2 linked regions of the Anolis sagrei genome follow. The protein of the gene in region 1 interacts with the protein of each later gene in a pairwise test. Links are inferred from orthologs where the notes say so. Each region holds a gene or a part of one and is shown on either strand. Other genes may lie near its edges.

Region 1 (7,373 bases):
TAATAATAATGTTCCCCCATCAATCAGCATGACAAGTAGTTTCCTAATAACAATAATAATTTTCCCCACCAATCAGCATGGTATTATTATTAATAACTAGCCGTCCCTGCCACGCGTTGCTGTGGCCCACATGGGGGTTCTGTGTGGAAGGTTTGGCCCATTTCCATCATTTGTGGGGTTCAGAATTCTCTGTGATTGTAGGTGAACTATAAATCCCAGCAACTACAACTCCCAAATGTCAAGATTCTATTTTCCCCAAACTCCACCAGTGTTCACATTTGGGCATATTGAGTATTCGTGTCGAGTTTGGTCCAGATCCATCATTGTTTGAGCCCACAGTGATCTCTGGATGTAGGTGAACTACAACTCCCAAACTCAAGGTCAATGCCAACCAAACCCTTCCAGTATTTTCCGTTGATCATGGGAGAACTGTGTGCCAAGTTTGGTTCAATTCCATCATTGGTGGAGTTCAGAATGCTATTTGATTGTAGGTGAACTATAAATCCCAGCAAACTACAACTCCCAAATGACAAAATCATTTTTTTTTAGTGAAGGACATACATTGGGTTGTTAGGTGTCTTGTGTCCAAATTGGATGTCAATTCGTCCAGTGGTTTTTGAGTTCTGTTAATCTCACAAACAAACATTACATTTTTATTTATATGGATAATTTTATTTTTGCCTACCTCTCCTCCCGACTCAAGTAAGAGGAAGCACTCTTATTACACTGCAGTACCCAGCATCCCCCTTAAGCCTATCATCATCATCATCATCATCATCATCATCATCATCATCATTTCATCATATCTCACTTTTAGGTCTTGAATGAGATACAAAGCAGCATCAATTTCGAGAAGGCCTCTTTTCTTCCACTGCAAGGCCCAGCATCCCCTTGCCAAACAGTCAATGGCACCAGAGCTCCCTTTGGAGGGGGACTACATTTCCCATCAACCACCTCCCAAAGAGATGGGAAGTAGTTTCCCAAGAATCCGGCGAGAGCCCCCTTTCCCATTTCGGTGGGAAATGGGGGATGATGGGAATGGCAGTCCCCCCCTTTCCGGCACTGCAGGGAACATCATCCCCTGGATCCCCAAGGGAAATCCTTCCTATGGAAGTGCTTCTTTTCGAAGGAGACATGGCAAATTCCAGCATCCATTCCCCGCTCCCAAAGTAGCTTCCAGTTCATTTTAGAGGGGGGCTACAACTCCCATCATTGCCTGCCCACCCACACACTGGGATTATGGGAGTTGAAGTCCTCTCCTTTTTGGCACTATAGGGCTCGTCTTCCTCTGGATCCAAAAGAAAAGTTATTCCTTTTGGGGGAAGGACTACAACTCCCAGCATCCATACCCTCCTTCCTCTCTCGCCTAAAAGTAGCTTCTTAGGAGAGTAAGGAGGGAAAGAGGGGGAGATTATGGGCCCTGAAGTGCCAGAAAGGGGAGCACTACAACTCCCATCATCCCAGGCCCACTGATGGAAAGTGGCTTCCCAATAATCGGAGGGGGGCTTTCTGATTATAGGGAAATGGGGGTGATGGGAGTGGCAGTCCTCCCCTTTCTGCTACTAGGAGGCCCATCAGCCTGATGACTTTGAAGTGGGGGTGATGGGAGTGGCAGTCCTCCCCTTTCTGGCACTAGGGGGCCCATCAGCCTGATGACTGGGAAGTGGGGGATGATGGGAGTGGCAGTTCTCCCCTTTCTGTCACTAGGAGGCCCATCAGCCTGATAACTTTGAAGTGGGGGGTGATGGGAGTGGTAGTCCTCCCCTTTCTGGCACTAGGGGTCCCATCAGCCTGATGACTGGGAAGTGGGGGGTGATGGGAGTGGCACTAGGAGGCCCATCAGCCTGATGACTGGAAAGTGGGGGGTGATGGGAGTGGTAGTCTTTCCCTTTCTGGCACTAGGAGGCCCATCAGCTTGATTACTTTGATGTGGGGGGTAATGGGAGTGGCAGTCCTCCCCTTTCTGCTACTAGGAGGCCCATCAGCCTGATGACTTTGAAGTGGGGGTGATGGGAGTGGTAGTCTTCCAATTTCTGGTACTAGGAGGCCCATCAGCCTGATGACTGGGAAGTGGGGGTGATGGGAGTGGTAGTCTTCCCCTTTCTGGTACTAGGAAGCCCATCAGCCTGATGAGTGGGAAGTGGAGGTGATGGGAGTGGTAGTCTTCCCCTTTCTGGCACTAGGGGGCCCATCAGCCTGATGACTTTGAAGTGGGGATGATGGGAGTGGCAGTCCTCCCCTTTCTGGCACTAGGAGGCCCATCAGCCTGATGACTGGGAAGTGGGGGATGATGGGAGTGGTAGTCCTCCCCTTTCTGGCACTAGGAGGCCCATCAGCCTGATGACTGGGAAGTGGGGGTTGATGGGAGTGGCAGTCCTCCCCTTTCTGGCACTAGGAGGCCCATCAGCCTGTTGACTGGGAAGTGGGAGATGATGGGAGTGGCAGTCCTCCTCTTTCTGGCACTAGGAGACCCATCAGCTTGATGACTGGGAAGTGGGAGTGATGGGAGTGGCAGTCCTCCCCTTTCTGACACTAGGAGGCCCATCAGCCTGATGACTGGGAAGTGGGAGTGATGGGAGTGGCAGTCCTCCCCTTTCTAGCACTAGGAGGCCTATCAGCCTGATGACTTTGAAGTGGGGGATGATGGGAGTGGTAGTCCTCCCCTTTCTAGCACTAGGAGGCCCATCAGCCTGATGACTGGGAAGTGGGGGGTGATGGGAGTGGCAGTCCTCCCCTTTCTGGCACTAGTAGGGGGAGGACTTGGGCTGCGGCACCCACCTTCTCGTTGAGGAGCACGGCGAGGACGATGTAGGTGGTGTTCCTGCGGAGGCGGGCCTTCTCGGGGGGCTCCAGCGGGGCCGAGTCGTACCCGCCGCCCTCCGAGGACAAGGGCCAGCCCTGCCCGCCCAGCACCGCCCCCACCTCCGCCACGGCGCCCGCCCCGCCCCCGGCCATCGACCCCGCCCCGGCCTTCCGCATTTGGCAGCCCTCTGCACGCGCCCCGGAGCCCTCTCGCGCGGGGAGGCGGCGCCCGCGAAGGCCCTGGGCCCCAGGCAGGCCACGCCCACCGCACGCCAAGGGAGAAGGCCACCGAGGGGAGGGAACAAAGCGGGCGTCGCTCTTCATTGGACAAAGCGCATTGCGCTTTGTCCAATGAAGAGCGACGGCCGCTTTGTTCCCTCCCCTCGGTGGCCTTCTCCACTGGCGTCCGGTGGGCGTGGCCTGCCTGGGGCCCGCTATTCGTTACTCATTGGCTCGACGCAAAGCGCTCCTCGCTTCTCATTGGACGGAGCGCTCTTCTCCTCCCCATTGGGTAAAGAGTCGAACCCTCCTCGCTTCCCCATTGGCTGGACGTAAAACGCTTCCCGCTTCTCATTGGACGAAACGCTCATCTCGTACCCATTGGGGTAACAGCTCAGCGGTATTCACTCCTCATTGAACAAAGTGGTAATCGCTTCCCAGTTGGGTGAAGAGATTAAAAGATGGGCTCAAAGCCAACCTTAAAATCTCTGGCATAGACACTGAGAACTGGGAAGCCCTGGCCCTTGAGCGCTCCAGCTGGAGGTCAGCTGTGATCAGCAGTGCTGCAGAATTTGAAGAGGCATGAATGGAGGGTGAAAGAGAGAAACGTGCCAAGAGGAAGGCGTGTCAAGCCAACCCCGACCAGGACTGCATTCCATCTGGAAACCAATGCCCTCACTGCAGGAGAACATGCAGATCAAGAACAGGGCTCCACAGCCACCAACGGATCCACAAGAATACTGGTCATGGATGGAAGACTAGCCTACTCGTCCAACGAGGGATCGCCTAAGGGTGAAGAGTCAAGTGCTCCTCATCTCCCCATTGGCTGGGCCAACTTGGGCCCTCCAGGTGTTTTGGGTTTCAACTCCCACCATTCCTTTTTTTTATATAGAGATAATAATTTTTATTGATTTATCACAATTACTACATTTGATATACAATTGTTATTACTGTTACATTTTGTACAACACACTCTTTAACATGTTATTTTATTGTTTTGCTCAAACATTTCCCCCCTTTATTTCCACCACAGTGCTCCCACCATTCCTAACCGCCTACCTGGTGGAGGGCCCATGTTGGCCCAGGCCTGGGCTAGACTGAAAGCGCTCCTCGCTTCTCATTGGACAAAGACCTCCTAGTTTCCCCATTGGCTGACCAACAAGGTGCTGTTCTGGGTTACTGTGATTATAAGAACTGGATTTTATGAGGCCACTTCTACACTTCTACATAGACATTCCAGATAATCTGCTTTGAACTAGATTATATGGCAGTGTAGATTTGATGGGGAGATATTAGAAATATAGATATTTGTTTATGTATAAATTGTGTACTTTACAAGCACTGAAATGTATCAAGTTCTCTCTGTATCAGAAATTCAAGCTGACAGGACAAGCAAGCTGCGTCCAGGCACAGCAAGAGGGAGGTGAACATTAAAGGGTGGGGGGAGAGATAAGCCCATCCTAGTGGCACCGAGCCCAGGCTATAGCTAAGTAAGGAGCCTATCTCTTCCTCATGACAGGTCAAAGTAGGCCCCTTGATTGATGGATGTAGGCTGTATGCTGCTCTTTAGAAAGAAATACAGAGACATGCCTTTTGTATGTTGGAAGATAGAATTTGATATTTCTGTGATGCTAAAGTGATGCAGAGAATTATTATTTTTTTGTCGTGTCAGGGAGCGACCTTAGAAACTGCAAGTTGCTTCTGGTGTGAGAGAATTGGCCGTCTGCAAGGACGTTGCCCAGGGGATGCCCGGATGATTTGATGTTTTATCATCCTTGTGGGAGGCTTCTCTCATGTCCCCACATGAGGAGCTGATAGAGGGAGCTCATCCACCTCTCTCTGGATTCGAACCTGCGACCTGTTGGTCTTCAGTCCTGCCAGCATAGGGGTTTAACCCACTGCGCCACCGGGGGCTCCTGCAGAGAATGATGTCAGTGTATGTAGATGCATGTTTGCCTGCATTTGAAGTGTACAAAAAGGCAGTCAACGCCTTTATCAGGCACTCTTAAGTGTTTTTGGACACAGCTCCACTCCAGAGTCCCAGCTGGAAATAAACCCGTGCTTTTCCAGACGTCAGGAACTCTCTTTGTCTCTTTTCCTAAAACCTTCTGATTTTATATTATTTTAATTGTTTTTATTGTATTCTTATGCTTTGATGTTAACTGTAAACCGCCCTGAGTCATCTGCGGGCTGAGAGGGGCGGTATATAAATGTAGCAAATAAATAAATAAATAAATATAATCCAGTTCAAAGCAGATAATGTGGATTATCTGCTTTGATCATCTGGATTATATGGCAGTTTAGAGGGGGCCAAAGCGATGTCAAACTACATTAATTCTGCAGTGTAAATGCACCCCAAATTACAGCTTTTCCTATAGTTGCCAGAGCAGACCTTGGGAGTTAAAGGTAAATGTAAACGAGTGGTACCTATTGATCTACTCACATTTGCCTGTTTTCAAACTGCTAGGTTGGCAGAAGCTGGGGCTAACAGTGGGAGCTCACCCTGCTCCCCAGATTTAAACCTTACGGTCAGCAAGTTCAGCAGCTCAGCGGTTTAACCCACTGTGCCACCAGGGGCTCCTCAATTGGGAAAGTAGATGGTGTATAATAAATCAAACCACATTGAAATAAAATTTGAGAACACCGCTTGTCCAGCCTTTATTTGAAGTCTAATAGAACAAATATGTGAGGAACTGGGGTATATAAAAATACAGAATCATAGCTGCTGCAAGGACATTGATTTGAAACCCTTTATCTGCCTTATCCGTAAAGCATGACTTAGGAAAACAGCCGAATTTGGATCACTCTTCAGTGGTACCATCGCTCCCTTGTGTGTCTAATTCAAGTTTGTTCAGAACCATTGGAAGCAGTATCAACCACTTTCCCCGCCATTGGGCTCTATGGTTCCTCGATGGGACTCTGGGAATGAAGCTGACCCAAGCTACTCTTCCTGCTTTGAGTAGAGGGCCCTCACCCGTTCCACGATCTCTGTGGCTTCCTTTATGGCTTTGGCATGGAGACCATTGTTGGCTGCCAAGTGATCAAAAAGATTGAGGGGCTCAGCACTCCGGAGGACTTGTGGCATCGGGATCTGGATCGGCAACGAGATGTTCCCGATGAGGAAGTGCTCGAGATATTTCTCCCGCACTGCCGTGTGCAAGAACAAGAGGATGTCTTGGAGCCTCGTTGCCAGGTTCTCAGGGTTCCAGTCGGAGACCGGCCGCAGGAGCAAGAGGTGCATCAAGCAAGTCTTGTAATGGTAGTCAGTGAGGACAGGGTTCTTACCGGACGGACTACCAGAACCCTTGAGATACATCAGGATCTGGAGACACTTCAAGTGACAGCTCCATTCGGGTGCCCGTTGGCCAAACCATTCAAAGAAGAGCAGTTCCTGAACAGCGAAGGTCTTCAGCCAAATGGTGCCCTTGGTAGGGTTGGCGTCTCCACAGTGGGTGACTAGGAAGACCAAGGAGTCTCCTTGCTGGACACCGAGGGTGATGTCCACCAGAACAGAACGCCCAGAGTGGAAGGCCAGCTTCAACCGGCATGTTGTGGCCGACGGCATGAGCGTGAGGTCGAGGGTGTACCTCTCACGGAGGTTCCTCCAAGCCTTGACCACCAAATTCTGGTACCAGCGGATGGTCTTCCCCACATCCAAGTGGGAACTGGTGCACAAAATGTGGAGGAGGAATGCGCCTTCTTCACTCAGATCCCGGTCTGGGTGGTGGAGGAAGCACACCACGTCACCCAGGAGCCGCTGCCTCTTGCAAACGCAGTCCATCTCCACCAAAATGTGGCCATGTTTGCTGGGTCCACCCTCAGCATCACTGCTTTCAATTTGGAAGGAATGGCCTTTGGGCGGCAGGAGGGGCACCAGGACAGTGAAGGGTTTCGACAGCCGTTGTATGTGCCACCCTTCAAAGGCGCTGCCCACTCCGATGCAGTTCTCCATTAGAGGAAGGGTGTTCTGGTATGGAAGGGTTTTCCGACCTTCATCCAACAAATCGTTGACGAAGGTCTCCACAAAATCGCACACGTTCTTCAAGTCGCCGTTTTCCAGTCCAATATAGCAGTCATAGAAGGCCTCCAGCTTCTTCTGGTTGGGTTTGCCAACTTCCGGCTCCATGTCCGTGTCGTCGTCGTATTCATCTGTGGTGGACGTGCTGGAGCCATCCGTGCTGGAATCGTAATGGGTGTCCTTTTCCATCGTGTGCCTGCAGCAGCCAAAGACAACAAGGATGATGAGGCCCACGTAAGGCCAACCATCCCAGGTCCCGTCTTCCACCGGCAGGTCAGGCTTCACAAATTTCTCCTGCTTCTGCTTCGGGACCCAGCTCCAGGCCTTCTGCTCA
Region 2 (7,212 bases), on another chromosome or scaffold:
AGCCTGCATTGTTTGTAGACACCTCCAAGGTCATGTGGCCAGCATGACTACATGGAGCACCGTTACCTTCCTGCCAGAGCAGTACCTATTGATCTACTCACATTTGCATGTTTTCGAACTGCTAGGTTGGCAGAAGCTGGGGCTGACAGCGGAAGCTCACACCGCTCCCCGGATTTGAACCTGCGACCTTTCAGTCAACAAGCTTAGCAGTTCAGTGGTTTAACCCAATGCGCCACCGGGGTCTCCTTATATTATTATTTCTGCCTTGATATTCTGGGATACAGGGCTGTGTGGAAGTGCCCTCAGATATTCAAGTTCAAAGCAGATATTGTGGGTTATTCTGCCTTGGTTATATAGCTGTGTGGAAGAGCCCCGAGTTATCTTGTGCGCCAGCTGCGCCCGTACCTTGGGAAGTCAGACTTGGCCACGGTGGTCCACGCTCTCATTACCTCTAGGATAGACTACTGCAATGCAGTCTATGTGGGGTTGCCTTTGAAGACTGCTTGGAAGCTTCAAATAGTCCAAGAAGAGGCAGCCAGGTTAATAACTAGGGTGGCATACAGGGAGCACACAACTCGCATGTTATGCCACCTCCACTGGCTGCCAGTTTGCTACCGGGCACAATTCATAGTGCTGGCTTTGGCCTATAAAGCCCTAAACGGCCCCGGCCCAAATTACCTGTCCGAACACATCTTCCCCTATGAACCATCATGGAGATTAAGATCTTCTGAGGAGGCCCTGCTTTCTGTCCCGCCACTGTCACAGGCACAATTGGTGGGGACGAGAAACAGGGTCTTCTTGGTGATTGCTCCCCTGCTATGGAGGGTCACCCCCATCCTCCTGTCCTTTAGAAGGATGGTAAAAACTTGACTGTGGGACCAAGCTTTCAGGACAGGGCAATGAAGCGGCAGTGGAAAAGATAACAGGGCCAATTGGATTTGATGCGGATGGCTAGGACAGTTTTAAATGATGTATTTTAATGTATTTTTTTATGTTTATGTATTGTATGTGAATTTGTGTCCCGGCATTGAATGTTTGCCGTGTATGTGCTGTGCTCTGCCCTGAGAAGGGCGGAATATAAATGCTTTAAATACATAAATAAATAAATATCTGGGTCCACAATGCCATATAACTCATTTCAAAGCAGATAATGTGGGATTTTACACAGCTGTGTGGAAGGGGCCTTCGATGCTGAGCAAATTCAATGCAATCACTGTTTGGTGAAAACACAAACTTTGACCGGAATCGGTGAAGGCCCTGTGTAATAAAACATGTGGAAAAGTTGGGGTGTTCGGAGCAAATTTACCTGCAAGACATCAGATTTATCAACCAGGGCCCTTCCACAAAGCCCTATATCCCTGAATATCAAGGCAGGAAATCCCACAATATCTGCTTTGAACTGGGTTATCAGATAATGTGGGATTTCCTGCCTTTATATTCTGGGATTTAGGGCTGTGTGGAAGGGCCCTCAGTAAGTATGAGGGCAAAAACAGTGGCAAAACACTAGCAAAAAGTAGTGTAACTGCTAATGCTCAATACTGTGGGACAATGAGAAGAATCAAGATGCATCTACAGCCAGGCATGGGCAAACTTCGGCCCTCCTCCAGGTGTTTTGGACTTCAACTCCCACAATTCCTAACAGCCTACCGGCTGTTAGGAATTGTGGGAGTTGAAGTCCAAAACACCTGGAGGAGGGCCGAAGTTTGCCCATGCCTGGCTGTAGATGCAAGCTTTAGGAAGACTCACAGCCACAACTGGTTGCCTCCAAGGCTCCAGCACTGGAGATCAGACCTTTCCCTGCAGAGCCCCCTTATGTGTGGCCCCCCAAAGCCCCTTCCCTTACCTGTGCTGCAGCCCCACCAGCCCCAGCGTGATCACATGCGGCACGTCCAGCTCGGTGGGCCAGACCCCGGCGGCGAGGCATCCGAAGACCCCGCACTCCTCCCCGATGCCCAGCTCCTCAAACTCCATGGTGCGTCGCACACGTGTCGCGGCCGCCCCTGTTGTTGTCGCTCCTGGCGCGGCGCTTGTGGCCGCTTGGGCTTGTGGGCGAGGACCGAGCCTGCTCCTTTTTTCCCGCCCCTCGGCGCCTCATTTGCATACAGGCCTGATTTGCATAGAGAGAGGGCGCGCACTAGTCTCGCGGCTGCTCCTAAGTTGAGAGTCCTGCCCCTTTTTTCTGCTTTAGGACTCCATCACCTCCCTCGTGTGTATGTGTGATTTGGTCTCATGGCAACAAAAAAGTTAGCCCCCCCCCCTCCTGTGAGGAAGTCGCCCCTCCCCAGTCCCCGCCTCCCCTCTTTTAGGGTTCCCTTGGTATTTCCTGCTTTTCCGAGCTGAAACTTGATTTTCCCTCTCTGACTTTGATTGGGGATAAGAAAGAAGAGTTGTTTACTTTTGCTTCCTGAGGGAATCCTTCCTGGAAAAAGAGAGAAATAGAGGGAGGGGGAAAGAGAGAGGAGGGAGGGAAGGGACGGTAAAAGAAGGAAGGAAGGAGAGGGGAAAGAAGAAAGGAAATAGGGAGAGGGAAGGAGGGGGAATGAGGGAGGAGAAGACATGAAAGAAGGAAGGAGAGGGGAAAGAGGAGGAAAGAAGAAAGGAAACGGGGAAAGAGGGGAGGGAGGGAAGGAGAGGGAATGAGGGCTAAGACAGAAGGAGGGAGGAAATAAGCAAGAGAAAGGGAGAAGGGAAGAGAGAGAAAGGGGGAAAGAAAGGAAAAGGAGAGAAAAAGAGGGAGGAAAGGGGGAAAGAGAACGAGAGGAAAGATGACAGGGAAAATGAGAGAAAGAGCAGGGAGGGGAAGAAAGAAAAAGGGGGAAAGAGGAGGAAAAGAAGACTGGGAAAATAAAGAGAAGGGAAGAGAGAAAGGAGAGGAAAGAAGAGAGGAAATATGGGCAAAGGAGAAGGTGAAAGATGAGGAAAGACACAAGGAGGGAAAGAAAGGAGAGAAAGGGGGAAAGAAAGGAAAAGGAGGGAAAGAGAGGGGGAAAGAAGAATTAAAGGCAGAAGGGAGGAAAAGGAGACAGGAAAATGAAGGGAAGGGAAGCGAGAAAGTGGGAAAGAAGAGAGGGAAAGAAGGGAAAGAGAGAGGAGCGAAGGAGAGGGTGAAAGGGGAAGAAAGACACAAGGAAGGAGGGGAAGAGAGAAAAGGGGAAGAGGAAAAGGGAGGAGGGAAGGAGAGGAAAAAGACAGAAAAGGAAGAAGGGAAAGAAGAAAGGGAAAGGAGCGAAGGAGAAAGATGTGGAAAGACACAAGGAAGGAGGGAAAGAAGGGAGAGAAAGGGGGAGAGAAAGGAAAAGGAGGAAAAGAGAGGAAGTAGAGGGGGAAAGAGAAGGAAAAGACAGGGAAAGAGGAGGGAAGGGAAGAGAGATTGAGGGAGAAGGAAGTAAAGAGGGGGAAAGAAGAATTAAAGGCAGAAGGGAGAGACAGAAGACAGGGAAAATGAAGGGAAGGGAAGACAGAAAGAGGGGAAGAAGAGAGGGGAAGAGGAGGGAAGGGAAAAGAGAATGAGGGAGAAGAAAGGAAGGAGAGGGGGAAAGAAGAGTTAAAGGCAGAAGGGAGTGAAAGAAGACAAGGAAAATGAAGGGAAGGGAAGAGAGGAAAAGGAAGGAAAGAAGAAAGGGGAAAGAGAAGGAGGGAGGGAAAGAGAGAAAGGGGATGAGGAAAAGGGAGGAGGGAAGGAGAGGGAAAAGACAGAAAAGGAAGAAGGTAAAGGAGCGAAGGAGAAGGGGAAAGAGGGGGGAAAGACAAAAAAGGAGGGAGGGAAAGTAAAAAGGGAAAAGGAGGGAAGGAGTGGGGAAAGTCGGAGGAAAAATAGGGAGGGGAAAGAGAGAGAAGGAGGGGTGAAAGGGAAGGAGAGAAGAAAGGGAGGGGGTAAGGAAGAGGGAGAAAGGGTGAAGTTTGCGAGGACTTGGGGGCGCTGGAATAGAAGCGGGAGTTGTTGAGAGTGCAACTTCGCCATGGCCCGCGGGGCTTTGGGGCGGGAAAGAGGCGGGCGAGGGGTGTCCGCCAGAACTGGCCTCAGATTGGAGGGAATGCTTGGGGGAAATTGGGCTGCGAGGGGGCGTGTGCGCGCGCCATTGAGTGTGTGTATTCTGTGGCGCAAGCCCTGTTTGCGGGGCTGCCATTGGCGCGTTCGGGGCGCGCTCCCCGCCCCTCATTGGCCGCCCCCTTCCGCCGCCCGCCCTTCTTACGCCGCCCCGCCAGCGCGCGCCCTCTCTCTCCTCCTCGGACTTGCTCCTCCGCGGACGGCTCTCGCGAGCAAACTTTTCCTCCTTCTCCTCCTCCTTCCTCTTCTCCTTCTTCCTCTTGTGCTAACTTCTCTTTGCCTTTGACTCCTAGGCGCCTCGGGCTCCTGCTGCAGCAGCCATGGCTCCCATCCGCCCTACAGGTGAGTGAGTGCCTTCTTGTCCTCCCCCCAAAGAAGGCCTCCTGAATGCCCCACAACAAAGGAGTCTTTTAACCCCTAGAATTCCTGACTATTGGGCAAGCTGGCTAGGGCTTCTGGGAGTTGGAGGCCACATGCTGAGTCCTCCAGGTGTTTGGGACTCCAGCTCCCAGAAGCCTCCTCTGCTTTGGTGAGTATACTTTCCCCAGGTTTCCTAAACCTAAGATGCTGCAAAATCCAAAATGGATGGCTGAGACCCTGTCTGCACTGTCTATTTAACGCAGTTCAAAGTTAGTTTCAGAGTGTGGCCTTTAGGCAACAAACACCCACAAAAGTGCATAAAAGAAAGATCTTAATGGCTTCAAACTACAAGAAAGGAGATTCCATCTGAACATTAGGAAGAACTTCCTGACTGTGAGAGCTGTTCAGCAGTGGAACTCTCTGCGGCAGAGTGATGGAGGCTCCTTCTTTGGTAGCTTTTAAACAGAGGCTGGATGGCTATCTGACAGGGGTGCAGACAGGTAGAGGGTGCCCTCGGTGGCACAGTGGGTTAAACCCCTGTGCCAGCAGGACTGAAGACAATAGTTCGCAGGTTCGAATCCGGGGAGAGGCGGATGAGCTCCCTCTACCAGCTCCAGCTCCTCATGCGAGGATGTGAAAGAAGCCTCCCACAAGGATCATAATACATTAAAAATCATCCGGGCGCCCCCTGGGCAACGTCCTTGCTGACGGCCAATTCTCTCACACCAGAAGCGACTTGCAGTTTCTCAGGTTGCTCCTGACATGACCAAAAAAAAAAGGGGGGTGCTTTGAATGCAATTCTCCAGATTCTTGGCTGAATGGGCTTGGACTGGATGGCCCATGAGGTCTCTTCCAATTCTATGATTCTAATGTACATCAGTGGTTTGTGTAAATAGCGTCTGAATCTCAAACTGGTTCCAGGTGATCACCTGCCCAGTGAAACCACTTTTCTTCGGCCCTTTCCACACAGCTCTATAAAAGCCACATTGAACTGGGTTATATGGCCATGTGGACTCAGATAATCTACATCAAAGCAGATATTGTGAATTCTCTGCCTTGATATTCTGGGTTAAATGGCTGTGTGGAAGGACCCTTAAACATCATTTTGAAACAGCCTGAAATAGCGACACCTCTGGAATGCTGTGAGTGTTTCAGGCTGTATGGCCATGCTCCAGTAGCATTCTCTCCTGACATTTCACCTGTATCTGTGGCAAGCATCCTCAGAGATTTGTTCGAAGGTCTGTGGGAATGAGGCAAGTGGGGTGTGTGTAGAATGTCCAGGGTGGGAGAAAGAACTCTTGTCTGTTTGATGCAAGTGTGAATTTTGCAATTGGCCACCTTGATTAGCTGGTGAGTAGCTTTGCAGCTGCAAAGTCTGGCTGTTGCTGCCTGGGGACATCCTTTGCTTTGGAGGTGTTAACTGACACTTGATTGTTGGCTGTCTGGAATTCCAGATTGGTAATACCGGTTGGACCCTGGTGGCACAGTAGATTAAAGTGCTGAGCTGCTGAGCTTGTTGACCGAAAGGTCGCTGGTTCAAATCCGGGGAGCAGCGTGAGCTTCCGCTGTCAGCCCCAGCTTCTGCCAACCTAGCAGTTCGAAAACATGCAAATGTGAGTAGATCAATAGGTACTGCTCTGGTGGGAAGGTAAAGGCACTCCATGCAGTCATTCAGGTCACATGACCTTGGAGGTGTCTATGGACAACGTTGGCTCTTCGGCTTAGAAATAGAGATGAGCACCACACCCCAGAGTTGGACACGACTGGACTTCATGTCAGGGGAAAACCTTTACCTTAAAACTGATTACGGGTATTTAAAAACATCAGAATCAAGGCAGTAAGAAAGGGACACCTCTCAGAAACAGAAGGATGCCTGCCATAGATGCAGGTGAAATGTCAGGAGAGAATACTACTGTAACATGGCCATACAGCCCAAAAACTCACAGCAACCCAGTGATTCTGGCTATGAAAGCCTTTGACAACACAGTGACATCTCTGCTTTCTGATGACTCAGTGGATGCAAAGGAATTCTGGGAACTGATGTCCAAAACACCTGGAAGACCAAGCCTGTTCAAGACCTCAGCCATCTAGATGTGCTCTTTCCCAGGCTGATTTCAGAAAGTAGACCGAACCTATCTAAACCTTAACAGAATGATTCTATAATTCGGGTTTGCCAAGGTGTTGTTACATGAAATTTCTTTGCAGGCTCAATTTCCTGATAGGGTTTAGTCTTACAATATATCCAAGCAAATTACATGAACTGTCTTTATTAAGCTCAGATGTTGGAAGCTAAGTAGGATCAGCCCTAGTAAGGACTTGGCTGGGAGCCCACCAACAAATGCCAGGTTCTGAAGGCTATATTTCAAAGGAAGGGACTGTTAAACCACCTCTGGGGATTCCTTGCCTAAGGAAAACCCTATGGACTTGTCATAAGGTGACTTGCAGAACTGGATGGTGGAAAATTCTGATGATACAAAGTAACAGGCTCTACAAAGCCATGAGGCTATAACGGTTTTGATGTTGTCTGTAATCTTTTTGAGTTCCTACAAGAAAAAAATTAATAATTTTTTCCCCATGTCTTCCCCAAGTTTGGAGAAGATACTGTTTTGAAGCACACATCCCAAAATCCCTTAGCCAAGATGGCCAGTGACCATGCTAATGGGGATGTTGAGAATCAAGGAGTTATGATTTAAAGCTGTACCAGTCCCCTTCACACACACACAAACATTCTGATGAAATATAGACTGCAAATAATGCCAGGTACAGAGGAAGGATCCAATACAGCCAACTCTATGTAAAAAAAA

The links. The genes of interacting proteins can lie anywhere in the genome.
Region 2: the proteins of NUDT18 (region 1) and multifunctional protein ADE2 interact in binary tests that used the Homo sapiens proteins (3 or more experiments, as listed by UniProt). The two-hybrid records come from large-scale screens. The link is inferred for Anolis sagrei from reciprocal best matches to the Homo sapiens genes NUDT18 and PAICS.

Annotation. Positions count from the first base shown.
Region 1 is NC_090027.1:21,780,891-21,788,263, forward strand, and holds the start of NUDT18 (8-oxo-dGDP phosphatase NUDT18), read right to left. Parts: upstream 3,087-7,373; 5' UTR 2,980-3,086; coding exon 2,779-2,979; intron 1-2,778. Other genes in the region: ITPRIPL1 (inositol 1,4,5-trisphosphate receptor-interacting protein-like 1), read right to left, coding at 5,963-7,373. UniProt on the Homo sapiens protein: Mediates the hydrolysis of oxidized nucleoside diphosphate derivatives. Hydrolyzes 8-oxo-7,8-dihydroguanine (8-oxo-Gua)-containing deoxyribo- and ribonucleoside diphosphates to the monophosphates. Hydrolyzes 8-oxo-dGDP and 8-oxo-GDP with the same efficiencies.
Region 2 is NC_090025.1:73,077,361-73,084,572, reverse strand, and holds the start of multifunctional protein ADE2, read left to right. Parts: upstream 1-4,200; 5' UTR 4,201-4,368; coding exon 4,369-4,390; intron 4,391-7,212. Other genes in the region: PPAT (amidophosphoribosyltransferase), read right to left, coding at 1,844-1,971. UniProt on the Homo sapiens protein: Bifunctional phosphoribosylaminoimidazole carboxylase and phosphoribosylaminoimidazole succinocarboxamide synthetase catalyzing two reactions of the de novo purine biosynthetic pathway.